Ovis aries: one gene and its partner. The protein of the gene in region 1 purifies or fractionates together with the protein of each later gene. This does not show direct contact. Links are inferred from orthologs where the notes say so. Each region holds a gene or a part of one and is shown on either strand. Other genes may lie near its edges.

Evidence for each region.
Region 2: the proteins of WDR24 (region 1) and DEPDC5 purify together in Homo sapiens (affinity purification with western blotting; 4 studies listed by BioGRID and IntAct, with this or other methods). This does not show direct contact. The link is inferred for Ovis aries from reciprocal best matches to the Homo sapiens genes WDR24 and DEPDC5.

Annotation. Positions count from the first base shown.
Region 1 is NC_056077.1:1,125,232-1,131,382, reverse strand, and holds the start of WDR24 (GATOR complex protein WDR24), read left to right. Parts: upstream 1-2,748; 5' UTR 2,749-3,372; coding exon 3,373-3,853; intron 3,854-5,014; coding exon 5,015-5,192; intron 5,193-5,334; coding exon 5,335-6,007; intron 6,008-6,151. UniProt on the Homo sapiens protein: Catalytic component of the GATOR2 complex, a multiprotein complex that acts as an activator of the amino acid-sensing branch of the mTORC1 signaling pathway. The GATOR2 complex indirectly activates mTORC1 through the inhibition of the GATOR1 subcomplex.
Region 2 is NC_056070.1:70,304,252-70,310,302, reverse strand, and holds part of DEPDC5 (GATOR1 complex protein DEPDC5), read right to left. Parts: intron 3,015-6,051; coding exon 2,927-3,014; intron 2,130-2,926; coding exon 2,083-2,129; intron 1,871-2,082; exon of another isoform or gene 1,798-1,870; intron 408-1,797; coding exon 322-407; intron 1-321. UniProt on the Homo sapiens protein: As a component of the GATOR1 complex functions as an inhibitor of the amino acid-sensing branch of the mTORC1 pathway.

The DNA.
Region 1 (6,151 bases):
GCCGGAGGCGGAGCGCTGGGGCTCGGTCCTGGGGGCGCTTTGAGCTCGCCAGACGGCCCCTACCGCCTTCTCCGCCACACCCCGCTCTGTCTCCCCACCCCGGGCAGGGCCCAGGGGGATTGAGGGGAGCTGGGTCCCGCATCTTCCACTGCACCGCGCCTGGAGCCCTCTGAGGGGTGCGAGGGGAAACAGGCCGCCGCCAAAGCCATGGCCCGCCAGGAGCCCAAGTCTCACCCGCCCTTCCCCCACTCATGCCAGCCTGACCCCCAGCGACCTCCCCTCTTCCTTGCCGCTGTGTGAGAGAGGCCCGGCTCGCCCCACCCCACCCACAGACCTAAGGTCCTTGGACCCTGGCCAGGCTAGGGCAGAACTGGATTAGGAGAGGGGCCACCAGGCTGACAGTGACCTTGGCATAATCAACATTAGCCCAGCTGGCTCCAGTCCACCTCAACCCAGGGTGGCATAGCTACCTTGAGAGGCCTGCAGCTGGAGCGACCATTGGGGCCTGCAGGCCTTGGGAGCAGTCCTGAGTGGACCCTGCCCTGCAACCCCTGTAGCCAGCTGGGCCCAGGCCCCTCAGTGCAACACTTCATCCTGGGCAGGTCTCCACCAGGTGGAAGCTGGGAAAGGGGGCCCTAGCCAGTGACCAATCTTCCAGTGACCAGCTCCCCCTCAACACCCAAAGGGAGGGCTCCTTTCTAGCCACAGCCTCCCTCTCCCCAGCTTCCCAGACTTCTACCTGCCCACGTGGGCGCACCGTGTTCTGTCTAGTCCCAGCACATCGGGAAGTCCTGGGGTGCTGGCCCATCTTGGCGATTGCTGAGGAGGGGGCTGGGACCCCTTTCCATCCCAACCTTGAGCACCCACACCCTATCTTGGGACACTCCCCACCCCCCAATCTGGTTGGAAGAGAGTAGCCAGTTTCCAGAGAGCCAGAGAGTGACAGAGAGAGAGAGAGAGAAAGAGAAAGAGCGAGCGAGAGATGCTGTTGAAGAGAGTTCAACAGCCCAAAGATTTCCCTGCCCCTGGAGTGCTGGCCAGAGGCTCCAGGGCTGAGATGGTCAGGAGCCAGTTTCTTCAGCCCCTCCTCCCCACAGCTCCAAGTGGGGAGGGGCAGCTGTCCATTTGTCCAAAGTATTAATGCAACTGAAGCTGTGATATTTCCAACGACTGTAGGAGGAAAAATTAGGGGGACAGAGGAAAACAAAACCAACCAACCCCTAAAATCATTTTCTTATTGTACATAACGACCTCATTCTCCTGTATATGCGGAAGATATAACCTTATATTTGGTAAGTGTTTCTTGTGCTATTTTATCACGTGACCTGTTTATAAAAATATATATTAAAAAAGTTGTAAAAACACATGTCTGAATTGCTTTTAGGTCATCACACCGTGGTGGGGGGAAGGTGTTCTCTGTCCTGAGTGGCCCAAGTCTGAATTTTTGTGCACCCCTCATCAGGTGTATTGGTTCTTTCAATAAACATGCAGAGACTGGTAACACTGTGCCAGACTGGAAACCCAACAGTGACCACCACAGAAGGCCCCTAACCTCTGTGTCAGCAGGGAGAGACACTAAAATCATTACATATAACACTCCTTCCAAAATATCTAGGATATAGCCCATTCTTCCAAGGGCAAGAATGAGGGCTGCTAGGGGTATCCTAGGGAGAAGGCAATGGCAACCCACTCCAGTACTCTTGCCTGGAAAATCCCATGGGTGGAGGAGCCTGGTAGGCTGCAGTCCATGGGGTCCTGAAGAGTCGGACAGGACTGAGCGACTTTACTTTCACTTTTCAGTTTCACGCATTGGAGAAGGAACTGGCAACCCACTCCAGTGTTCTCACCTGGAGAATCCCAGGGACGGGTGAGCCTGGTGGGCTGCTGTCTACGGGGTTGCACAGAGTCGGACACGACTGAAGTGACTTAGCAGCAGCAGCAGCAGCAGCAGGGGTGTCCCAGATCACACAGAGCAGCAAGCACAGGCCAGGGCGCATACCCAGCGAAGAAGGGCGGCTCAGAGAGGGTCACTGACTGAACGTTGGTGTGAACAGGTCCAGTCAGGCACCAGAGCTCTTGGAGACAGACGGACGCGAGTTCACATTCGTGTAAAACAGATGTAATCAGTATACCAGGTTGTGACGAGCGCCGTGGAGGCCACTGAGATGCGGTGGCCGGGGAAGGCCTCTAAAAAGGTGCCATTTAAGCTGAACTCTGAGGGATGAGGAGACGCGTTCTAGGGAGGACAACGAGCGTGCACCCACGATGACCGTGAGGCAGGCAAGGGCTCCTGCGGCGGGAGCTGCGCGGAGAGGACGGGCCAGGAGCTCGGGATTTGCCTCCCAGCGCGGTGAGGACGTGTGGAGGCCCGCAGGCCGGAGTCCCTGGCTGTGCGGAGCTCAGATGACGCGGGAGGGGGGACCCCAGGAGAGCCGCTAGGAGGCTGCTCCCGAGTCCCGAAGAGCGCGAAAAAGGAGGCGGAGACGGAGGAGGGGTGTGGGGCCAGCCTGGGGATGCCTGGGCTTGCTGATGGACTGTGGGGGCAGAGATGAGCACTAGCGTTCAAATAACACGAGTTAAAAAAGGAAGAGGAAGAATACCAGAGGCGGAACCGGCGAAGCCTCTCCCCCTTCTCTGCTCGCCCTCCGCCCCCAAGGCGCTCTCCCGTTCCGGAACGTTTGTAGTGTGGGCGCCCGCTTCCAGCGCGGGGCTGGAAAGAAAAGGACCACGTTCGGCGGGGGGCGGGACGGAGACGGGCTTCTTCCGGCGCGGCCGTTCCTCCCCGGGCCGGCAGTTTCGGGAAATGGCTCAGGTGCCCGCGGAAGGAGAGACTTCTCCGTTCCTCCGGTTCTGTTCCCGCGGTCTCCGCTCCCGCCGCAACCTCTGCGCCGCCAGGCTCTCCTGTGCGGTCGCGCCAGCCATCCCTCGGGCTCCGTAAACAGCTCGGTCCTGGAAGCCCCTCTGACCCTCGCGCCTCTGGTCTTCCTGCCCCCTCCTTTCCAGAGGCCGACTGTGCACGGTGGGAGCCATCTGGCTTCCCTGGCGGGACTGACTGCCCGAAGGTCCAGTGACCATCCTGATTTGGCAGTTAGGGAGTTGGAGAATTGGCCTGGCCTGGGGCTGACCAGGTAAGGTCTCCCCCAGAAGTCAGACATGGGGCTGGCTAGCCTCAGGGCAGCCATGGCACCCTCCGACTGCCCGGCCAGGGTGATGGAACTTGCCTATCAGACCGATTGACTAACGGTGGACTTCCCTGGACTAAGCAGTTTTGGAGGAACCACCCAGGGTGAAGGGTCTGAAAGGACACGCCCCTGCCGCCAGGCTGACCAGGTCTGCCCACTTCACCGATCTGTCCTCGCCACCCGTGCAGCCATGGAGAAGATGTCCCGTGTGACCACGGCCCTCGGTGGGAGCGTGCTGACTGGCCGCACCATGCACTGCCATCTGGATGCTCCGGCCAATGCCATCAGTGTGTGCCGTGACGCGGCCCAGGTGGTCGTAGCAGGCCGCAGCATCTTCAAGATCTATGCCATTGAGGAGGAGCAGTTTGTGGAGAAGCTGAACCTGCGCGTGGGCCGCAAGCCCTCCCTCAACCTGAGCTGTGCAGACGTTGTCTGGCACCAGATGGACGAGAACCTGCTGGCCACGGCGGCCACCAATGGCGTGGTGGTCACCTGGAACCTGGGCCGGCCGTCCCGCAACAAGCAGGACCAGCTGTTCACGGAGCACAAGCGCACAGTGAACAAAGTCTGCTTCCACCCCACTGAGGCCCACGTGCTGCTCAGTGGCTCCCAGGATGGCTTCATGAAGTGCTTTGACCTGCGCAGGAAGGACTCTGTCAGCACCTTCTCGGGTGAGGCCCTGGGAGGCAGGTCAGGCAGGTGTGCCTCTGCAGGTGGCCGACCTGTCTAGGCAGGTTGAGAAGCGCTGTGTGTCAGAGGCCCTCAGGTGTGCTCCCATAGGGCTTCCTGGAGGAGGAGCCAGCTGAGCTGGCACTGGAGGAGGGGGTGGAGGTCAGCAGGGAAGGGGCAGAGGTGGGCCTGGTGGAAGTGTGACGGGTACCTGGAGTGTGGGCACAGCGCTGATGCACTTGCAGGGCCAGCAGGAGTCGAGGGTAGTGTGGGATCAGGGAGAGGGCAAATGGGTGGCTGCCCTGGCAGCTCAGCCTCCTCTCGCCATGCCTCAGAGCTCCAGGCCACCTCATCGCATGAAGTCTGCTTCCAGGGTCCTCAGCCCAGGGAAGCAGTGGGGAGTGGGGCACTGCCTGGTTCCCCACCCCCCAAGTTCCCTTCCCAGCAGCCCCAGATCTTGACACCCCCGCCTTGAGCCAGCTCACATTTTTTACCTTGATGAGACCAAATGAAGACCAGGGCAGAGCCCTCAGATAATCAGGGAGCCTCTTACGACAGTCCTTGAGCTCCCTGTGCAGGGGAAAGCTGGGTGCTGCATTCGAAGGCTCCTGGTGTGGTGGTCCTCAGGGCTGGACGTGTCCCCTCAAGATCTCCAGTCCTTGGGGGCTGGCCAACCTGGCAGCTCCAGCTCAAGGTGTAGGGCCTGGGCAGAGCCTGGGGCATTTTATCTCTGCCTCCTGGGGCCTGAGGCTTCCAGAGGATTGTATTCGGCCCACCGAGGCTCCTGTTCACACAGTGCTCTGACACCTGGTCCTGAAGCCGTGACAGCTTTGCACGAGGGCAGATGTCAGATGCAGAATCCAGAGAAAATCAAGGTCCAGGAGTCTGTTAAAAACCACCTGATGCCTGGTGTCCCTCTCACCTGCCTGGGCTATTATCTGCTTTGCCATGCCTCTCTTCGCCCCTGTCCACTCTGGACAGGCCTTGGCAAATGTCTACATCACCCTCCAGGCCTGTGGTCTCGGCCACAGGCAGGAATGCAACACCAGCCCACATCCATTCTGAGGAATCCCCATTGGTTGTTTACTCTCCCTCCTGGAGCTCCTGTGGGCCACCCTGTCCCCCACCCCCAACCTTCTCCCTCCACTAATGTCCGCTCACAGGCCAGTCTGAGAGTGTGCGCGATGTCCAGTTCAGTATCCGGGACTACTTCACCTTCGCGTCCACCTTCGAGAACGGCAACGTGCAGCTCTGGGACATTCGGCGGCCCGACCGCTGTGAGCGAATGTTCACAGCCCACAATGGGCCTGTATTCTGCTGCGACTGGCACCCCGAGGACAGGTGTGGGGTGGAGGCCAGGGCAGCGGGCCAGGGTGGGTGGGCTTGTGGAAGGGCTCTCTCACTGCCTCAAGACCTGTGAGACAGAATGGGGAGCCCTCCCACTCCGAAAGAGGTCACTGAGGATTTCGTGGGCCTTCCCCAGGGGCTGGCTGGCCACAGGTGGGCGTGACAAGATGGTGAAGGTCTGGGACATGGCCACACACCGTGCCAAGGAGGTGCACTGCGTGCAGACCATCGCCTCCGTGGCCAGAGTCAAGTGGAGGCCCGAGTGCCGCCACCACCTCGCCACGTGCTCCATGATGGTGGACCACAACGTCTACGTGTGGGATGTGCGCCGGCCCTTTGTGCCCGCCGCCATGTTTGAGGAGCACCGGGACGTCACGACAGGCATCGCCTGGCGCCACCCGCATGACTCCTCCTTCCTGCTCTCCGGCTCCAAGGACAGCACTCTCTGTCAGCACCTGTTCCGTGACGCCAGCCAGCCTGTTGAGCGTGCCAACCCTGAGGGCCTCTGCTACGGCCTCTTTGGGGACCTGGCCTTCGCAGCCAAGGAGAGCCTTGTGGCCACCGAGTTGGGGCGCAAACCCTACGCTGGGGATCGGCGCCACCCCATCTTCTTCAAGCGCAAGCTGGACCCTGCCGAGCCCTTTGCGGGCCTCGCCTCCAGTGCCCTCAATGTCTTTGAGATAGAACCCGGCAGCGGCAGCATGAGCTGGTTCGTGGACACTGCCGAGCGTTATGCCCTGGCCGGCCGGCCACTGGCTGAGCTCTGTGACCACAATGCGAAAGTGGCTCGAGAGCTTGGCCGCAACCAGGTACACGGGGTGGACTGAGGGCCAGGATCTTGGTACAGGGCCTGGAGCTCCGCTGACAGCTGTGGCCGGACCCTGCCCTGAGCTCAGAGTTCAGCTCTGGCTGAGGACACCCCCAGCTTGCCCCAGTAACTGAGTGTCCAGAGC
Region 2 (6,051 bases), on another chromosome or scaffold:
TTGAATAGTCTACACTACACTTGGCGTGTTAGTTGTGCCATCGTGTTTCACTCTTTGCGACGCCATGGACGGTAGCCCACCAGGCTCTCCTGTCTCTGGAATTCTCCAGGCATGAATACTGGAGTGGGTAGCCGTTCCCTTCTCCAGTGGATCTTCCAGACCCAGAGACTGAACCCAAGTCTCCTGCATTGCAGGCGGGTTCTTTACTGTCTGAGCCACCAGGCAAGCCCTAAGTAACTCATTATTTCCTTAGAGACCTACTGTTGAGGAAGGGCATTAATCATTCCCCATAAGATATTCAAATCCAGAACAAAGACACACCTTAGGGTCAACAACATTCACATACACATCTTGATAAGGTCTTAGCCGGAACACCTGAGTCACAGTCTGGTCCACACTGATGGTTTCTGAAACAGAGAAGAAATCTGAATCACATAGAGCATTCTGAAAAACCAGGCAAATACATTCTAATCTATAAACGGCTTCTCAGGTGGCTCAGTGGTAAAGAATCTGCCTGCCAATTCAGGAGAATCAGGAGATGTGGGTTCGATCCCTGGGTCGGGAAGATCGCCTGGAGAAGGAAATGGCAACCCGCTCCAGTATTCTTCCCTAGAAAATTCATAGGCAGAGGAGACTGGCAGGCTACAGTCCATGGGGTCACAAAGAATGAGATACAACTGAGGGCACGTGTGTGCGTGTGTGTGTGCACACACACACACACAATCTATAAATGCCCAAACATTCAACAAACAACACAACTGATCCTTTACCAAGGGCAAGACATGTTTTCTGTCTTCAGGAACTTAAAACTTAGAGAGTTCTCTGCTGTTCAGGTGAAGTAAGACCTGAAGCCAAGCAATTAAAAAATGAGAGAGAGACAGACTGAAATAGAGAGAGAGAAAAAAGAGTTTAAGAAGCAACACAAGAAAATTCAAAGGGTTGTGAAAATTGAGAAGAGGAAAGAGACCCTTTCTCTTTTGGAGTAAAAGTGGTGATGGTAGTCAAGAAAGAAACAAACTTTCCAATGAGCCCTGAAGTCTGCTAAGTAAGAACGTAATAGGCAGCAGGAGATGCGGCTGCTGCTGCTAAGTCGCTTCAGTCGTGTCCGACTCTGTGCGACCCCACAGACGGCAGCCCACCAGGCTCCCCCATCTCTGGGATTCTCCAGGCAAGAGCACTGAGGTGAGAGCAAAAAGGACACTCAGGATCTAGGTTTGAAAACACGTTTTCCCGTCAATTTAAAACATAAAAAAGTGGTTGACATCAAAATCCTTTAGAGAAGATTAAAAAAAATTTTTTCTTTTCAGTGCCGTTTAAGGAATTATTTTATTTGCTATCAATTAACATTTTAGTTCCTAGATCAGCATGGTATAGTCATTAGAAGAAAGGATTTGGATTCAGACTGAGTTAGTATTGATAGAATCACTGCTCTGGCTCCTTCACTTGCTAACACCAGGCAAACTTGCTCATCCCACTGAGACAAAGGTTCCTCCCTCACTCAAGAGCTGGTGGGAAGAAAAAGACAGATAGATGCCAAGCAGCTCCAGTTCAGTGCTTTGCACAAGTGCCGGGTAATCAGCGGTCTATGTTCTTCCTCTGCTCCAGCCCAGTGTAGACACGAAACAAATATTTTGTGAAAAAATATAATATTGAGAAAAGCATGCTTTGCCAACAATTGTTTTAGAGTTTAAGTGTAGGGCTTACTCTACTTTCCTTTTGATCCTAAATATAGTTTTTGTTTTCTTGTTAGTATTTACTTATTTGGCTATGCAGGGTCTTAGTTGTGGGAACTCTTAGTTCCCCGACCAGGGATCGAACCCAGGCCCCCTGCATTGGGAGCACAGAGTCTTAGCCACTGGACCACCAGGGAAGTCCCTAAACATAGTTAAAAATGTCTAGTGCCCTCAAGGTGCTGACGAATGAGATTCCTTGGCAGTTTTGGTATCTGACAATATTTTTATTAGCAGGAACACAATTTGATAAGGAGAGACATACTGTGCCCTCATTGTGAAGGGAGCTTTCTTAAAGTTTCTGAAACAATAAAGTGTAAAAAATCTTAGAGAAGAGAGATGGAATTCTTACCTTTCTGCAAATCCTCCTTAAGTGACTTGACCTGCAAAAGCAGAGGGCTAGAGGTGGTGGGGGTGGAGGGGTGGGGGAGAAAGCAACAAAGAGAAGAGATGTTGTCAGCATTAACTAATCAGTTTTTTTTTACCACCCACAAAACACAAACAGATCACTCTGGACATATTCTAACCGGCAGCACAAGAACAGGAGAGAGTTCCTTTAGAAACAAACTCTGCACTTGTACAGTAAGTCCCCTACATCCAAACCTTCAACTTGTGAACTTCCAAAGATGTGAATGTGCGTGCCAGCCCCCGTGTGCCACCCACTGTACTGGATGACTGTAGTTTTCAAGGTACTGTGCTGTACGATTAAATCCGTTTTATTTTTTGTGTTTTTGATGTATGTATTATTTGTGTGAAAAAGTATTAGGCTGGCCAAAAAGTTCATTGGGATACGGAAGAACTCGAATACTGGCCAGCCCAATGTTCTGAACCTATTACAGCACATACTATACAGCCAATTGTGTCAGCTGGGTACCTAGGCCAATTTCGCTGGACTTAGGGACAAATTGGACTTAAGGACAAATGCACTCTCAGAACAGAACTCATTGGTATGTCAGAGACTTACTGTATTCAAGGGAATGAATAAATGCTACAGAATTGTTCAGAGTTCTCTCAGCTTTGTAACCAGAAAGAATGGACCCCTTTTAAAAAGATTGATTGGTCTAGCAAATCCCAGAGGGCAGGAACATTTTTATCCCAAGGCAAAGAGCCATCTCGCCCTTCATCCCCTTAGACAACACATCACCTGGAAACAGCAGGCTGCCCAGCTAGCCCCCTACTCCTGCTCAGATGCTCACCTGTACTCATCGTTGGGGTGGGCAATCTCCACGATGTCTCCAAGCTTGATGTGTGGAAATACTTTGGGGTTCATGACTAGCTCATCGTCTGAAAGACAATTCAGGGATCTCAGGCAGCAAGCAACTCACGCGGGTTGTGGGTTGCTGTGTGTTCTCACGCTGGGTCCTTACAACCCCATCATTCAGAATGACAACCCCATCTCACAGAGGAGGCTCCATTTAAAATTGAGATTTAAGGCTCCCCTAGTGGCTCAGTGGTAAGGAATCCACCTGCCAATGCAGAAGACATGGGTTCGATCCCAGGTCCGGGAAGATCCCACGTGCCTGGGAGCCCCTGAGCCCGTGCACCACAACTATCGAGCCTAGAGCCCAGAGCCACAGTACTGAGCCCACATGGCACGACTACTGAGCCTGCGTAGCCCAGAGCCTGCGCCCTGCAACAAGAGAGGCCGCTGCCACGAGGAGCCCACGGTCCACAGCTAGAGAGGAGGCCCCACTTGCTGCAACTGGAGAAAAGCCTGCGCAGCAACGAAGACCCAGCAGAGCCAAAAATAAATAAATGAAATTTAGCTTGACTGAAGGATTTGTACAGGAAGCCAGAGGTGGTGAGCAGCTGAGTGGGATGGTGTTCGGGGACCTTTGTCTCCAGAGCTTTACCTGCCAGCCCACTGCTCCCAGGGAGAAGGCAGCTCTTCCGCTCTGGGAGTTAGGCGTCTAGGGCAATTCTTTACTTCCTCAAATGGTGTGCATCTGTCATACACCAGGAACAAGACAGCCAGGGGCCCACATACAGCACAATCCCTTCTACTTAATATTCAAAGAATTATTCAAAATACTGTCTGAATGTGACCCTCACAATAAATCTCTAGATCTAACAGAAGCAAGAAAACAAGAGATAAAGCAACTTGCCAAAGGTAGATAGCTAGCAACAACAGTACACGAGGACTGGTTACTAGTCCAGGGTTCCAAAACCCACTGTTTCTCACATCCCTCAAGCCAAATAAAACACCCTGGACTTGGAGGGCAATGCTTGATCAGGGAAAAAATTCACATATAGCAGAATTGAACAGACAACAGAAATAACTTGACAGAGGACAGGATGCAAGGACACAGTATATACAGCATATCTATAAAGTATGTATACAGTGTATCTATACTGTACGTATACAGCGTATACAGTGTATCCGTATACAGTGTATCTATAATGTACGTATACAGCGTATACAGTGTATCCGTATACAGCGTATACAGTGTATCCGTATACAGCGTATCTATAATGTATCTATAATGAGTCTTCTTTTTCAGTCTGGAGCTGGGTACAGGAGACTCTTAAATACACAGAGGATGTGATTTTATATGGTTATCTATCCCTGCCCCACACTAGAGCTCGGGGAAGGGGGAGGGAACTCTTTCAAATATAACACACTCAGGATCATAAAGATATAGTATTTTGTTGTTTTTTCTTTGTCTCTGTTTTAGCTTTTAGGGAAAGATGGTCTTTTTTTCTTTTCTTTTCTTTTTTTTGGCCATGTCACATGGCTTGTGGGATATTAATTCCCCAACCAGGGATCAAACCCAGGCCTTCAGTAGTGACAGCACAGAGTCCTAACTGCTGGACCATTAGGGAATTCCCAACACATCCTTCTATCATGCTAAAATTATGACAAAGAAATATGTCCAGATTTCAGATAAAATCAGAACCAACAAGAACTCAGCCTAGGAAAGCAAAGTACTGAGTTAATGCCCAGTTGCTCTTTCTTTTTGGATACAGTCTCCATTGACAGATGTAAAGCAAAGCCTCTATGAAGTCTCCCTCTAACTTTCAGTCTCACAAGTATTCCTTAGTGTTTAATCTTACCATTTCTTTTTGCATGTATGTCACAACAAGCTGAAAGCTCCTTAGGGAGAAGGAACCTTGTCATATTCAAAATCTTTATGCTTGGTATAGACAGGCGGTGTAGTCACTAAGTCGTATCTGACTATTGCAACCCCATGGACTACAGCCCACCAGGCTCCTCTGTCCATGGGACTCTCCAGGCAAGAATATTGGAGTGGGTTGCCATTTCCCTCTCCACTGGTACAGGTATGTACCTAATACATAGTTGTTGGATGTATGTTTTTCAATTTGATTTTTATTTTATTTATTGACATACAGGTGCCATACAATACTGCATCAGCTTCAGGTGCTCAGCATATGGTTCAGTATTTTTGTGGAATATATACCATTATGAGCTATTACAAGATAAGAGGTGTATTCCCTCCGCTACATAATATATCCTCGTTGTTTATCTATCTGATACATAGCAGTCCGTATCCATTAATCCCATACCCCTAATCTGCCCCTCCCCTTTTCCCTCTCCTCTTTGGTTGCCACAAGTTTTGTTTTATATGTCTGAGAGTTTGTTCTGCATATACATTCATTTGTTTTGTATTGGTTTTTTAGTATCTGTCTTTCTCTGTCTGACTTAATCACTAAGCATAATATTCCCTAGGTCTATCCATGTTGCTGCAAATGACATTTCAATCGTTTTTATGGCTGAGTAATACTGTAGGATGGATTTTTTTCTTTATAGTCCTACAGCAGACTGGGTACAGCAGGGATCTACCACTGTCTTGCACACGTGAAAAAGAACACTTGCATACATTGTATTAATAGATACAGAGTATACACTGTATCCTTTTCTCCTTTCCTGTGTCAAAAGTTATTTCTGTTTGTTCAATTCTGCTCCACAAAGGTTTAGGCAGCTTCCACTGCATACAAAGTACAATGCTAACAACAGACTGTGGTTTTAGCAGAAATTATGTTTTAAATATAGCAATGCCGGGTATATCCTTTTCCTGGTACTTACAATGGCTACATTTATTTAGCAGCTAAAAGGAGCCTGGCTGAATACTTTACATACATCACTTAATTTGAACCCTTAAGATCTTATGATATAGAAACTATTATTCTACCTTTTAGGCAGCCCTTACCTTTGGGAGGCTTATACATCTCTAATACAGGAGCAGATATAAAAGTGAAAGTGAAGTCGCTCAGTCATGTCCGACTCTTTGCAACCTCATGGACTATAGCCTACCAGGCTCCTCCATTCATGGAATTTTCCAGGCAAGAGTACTAGAGTGGG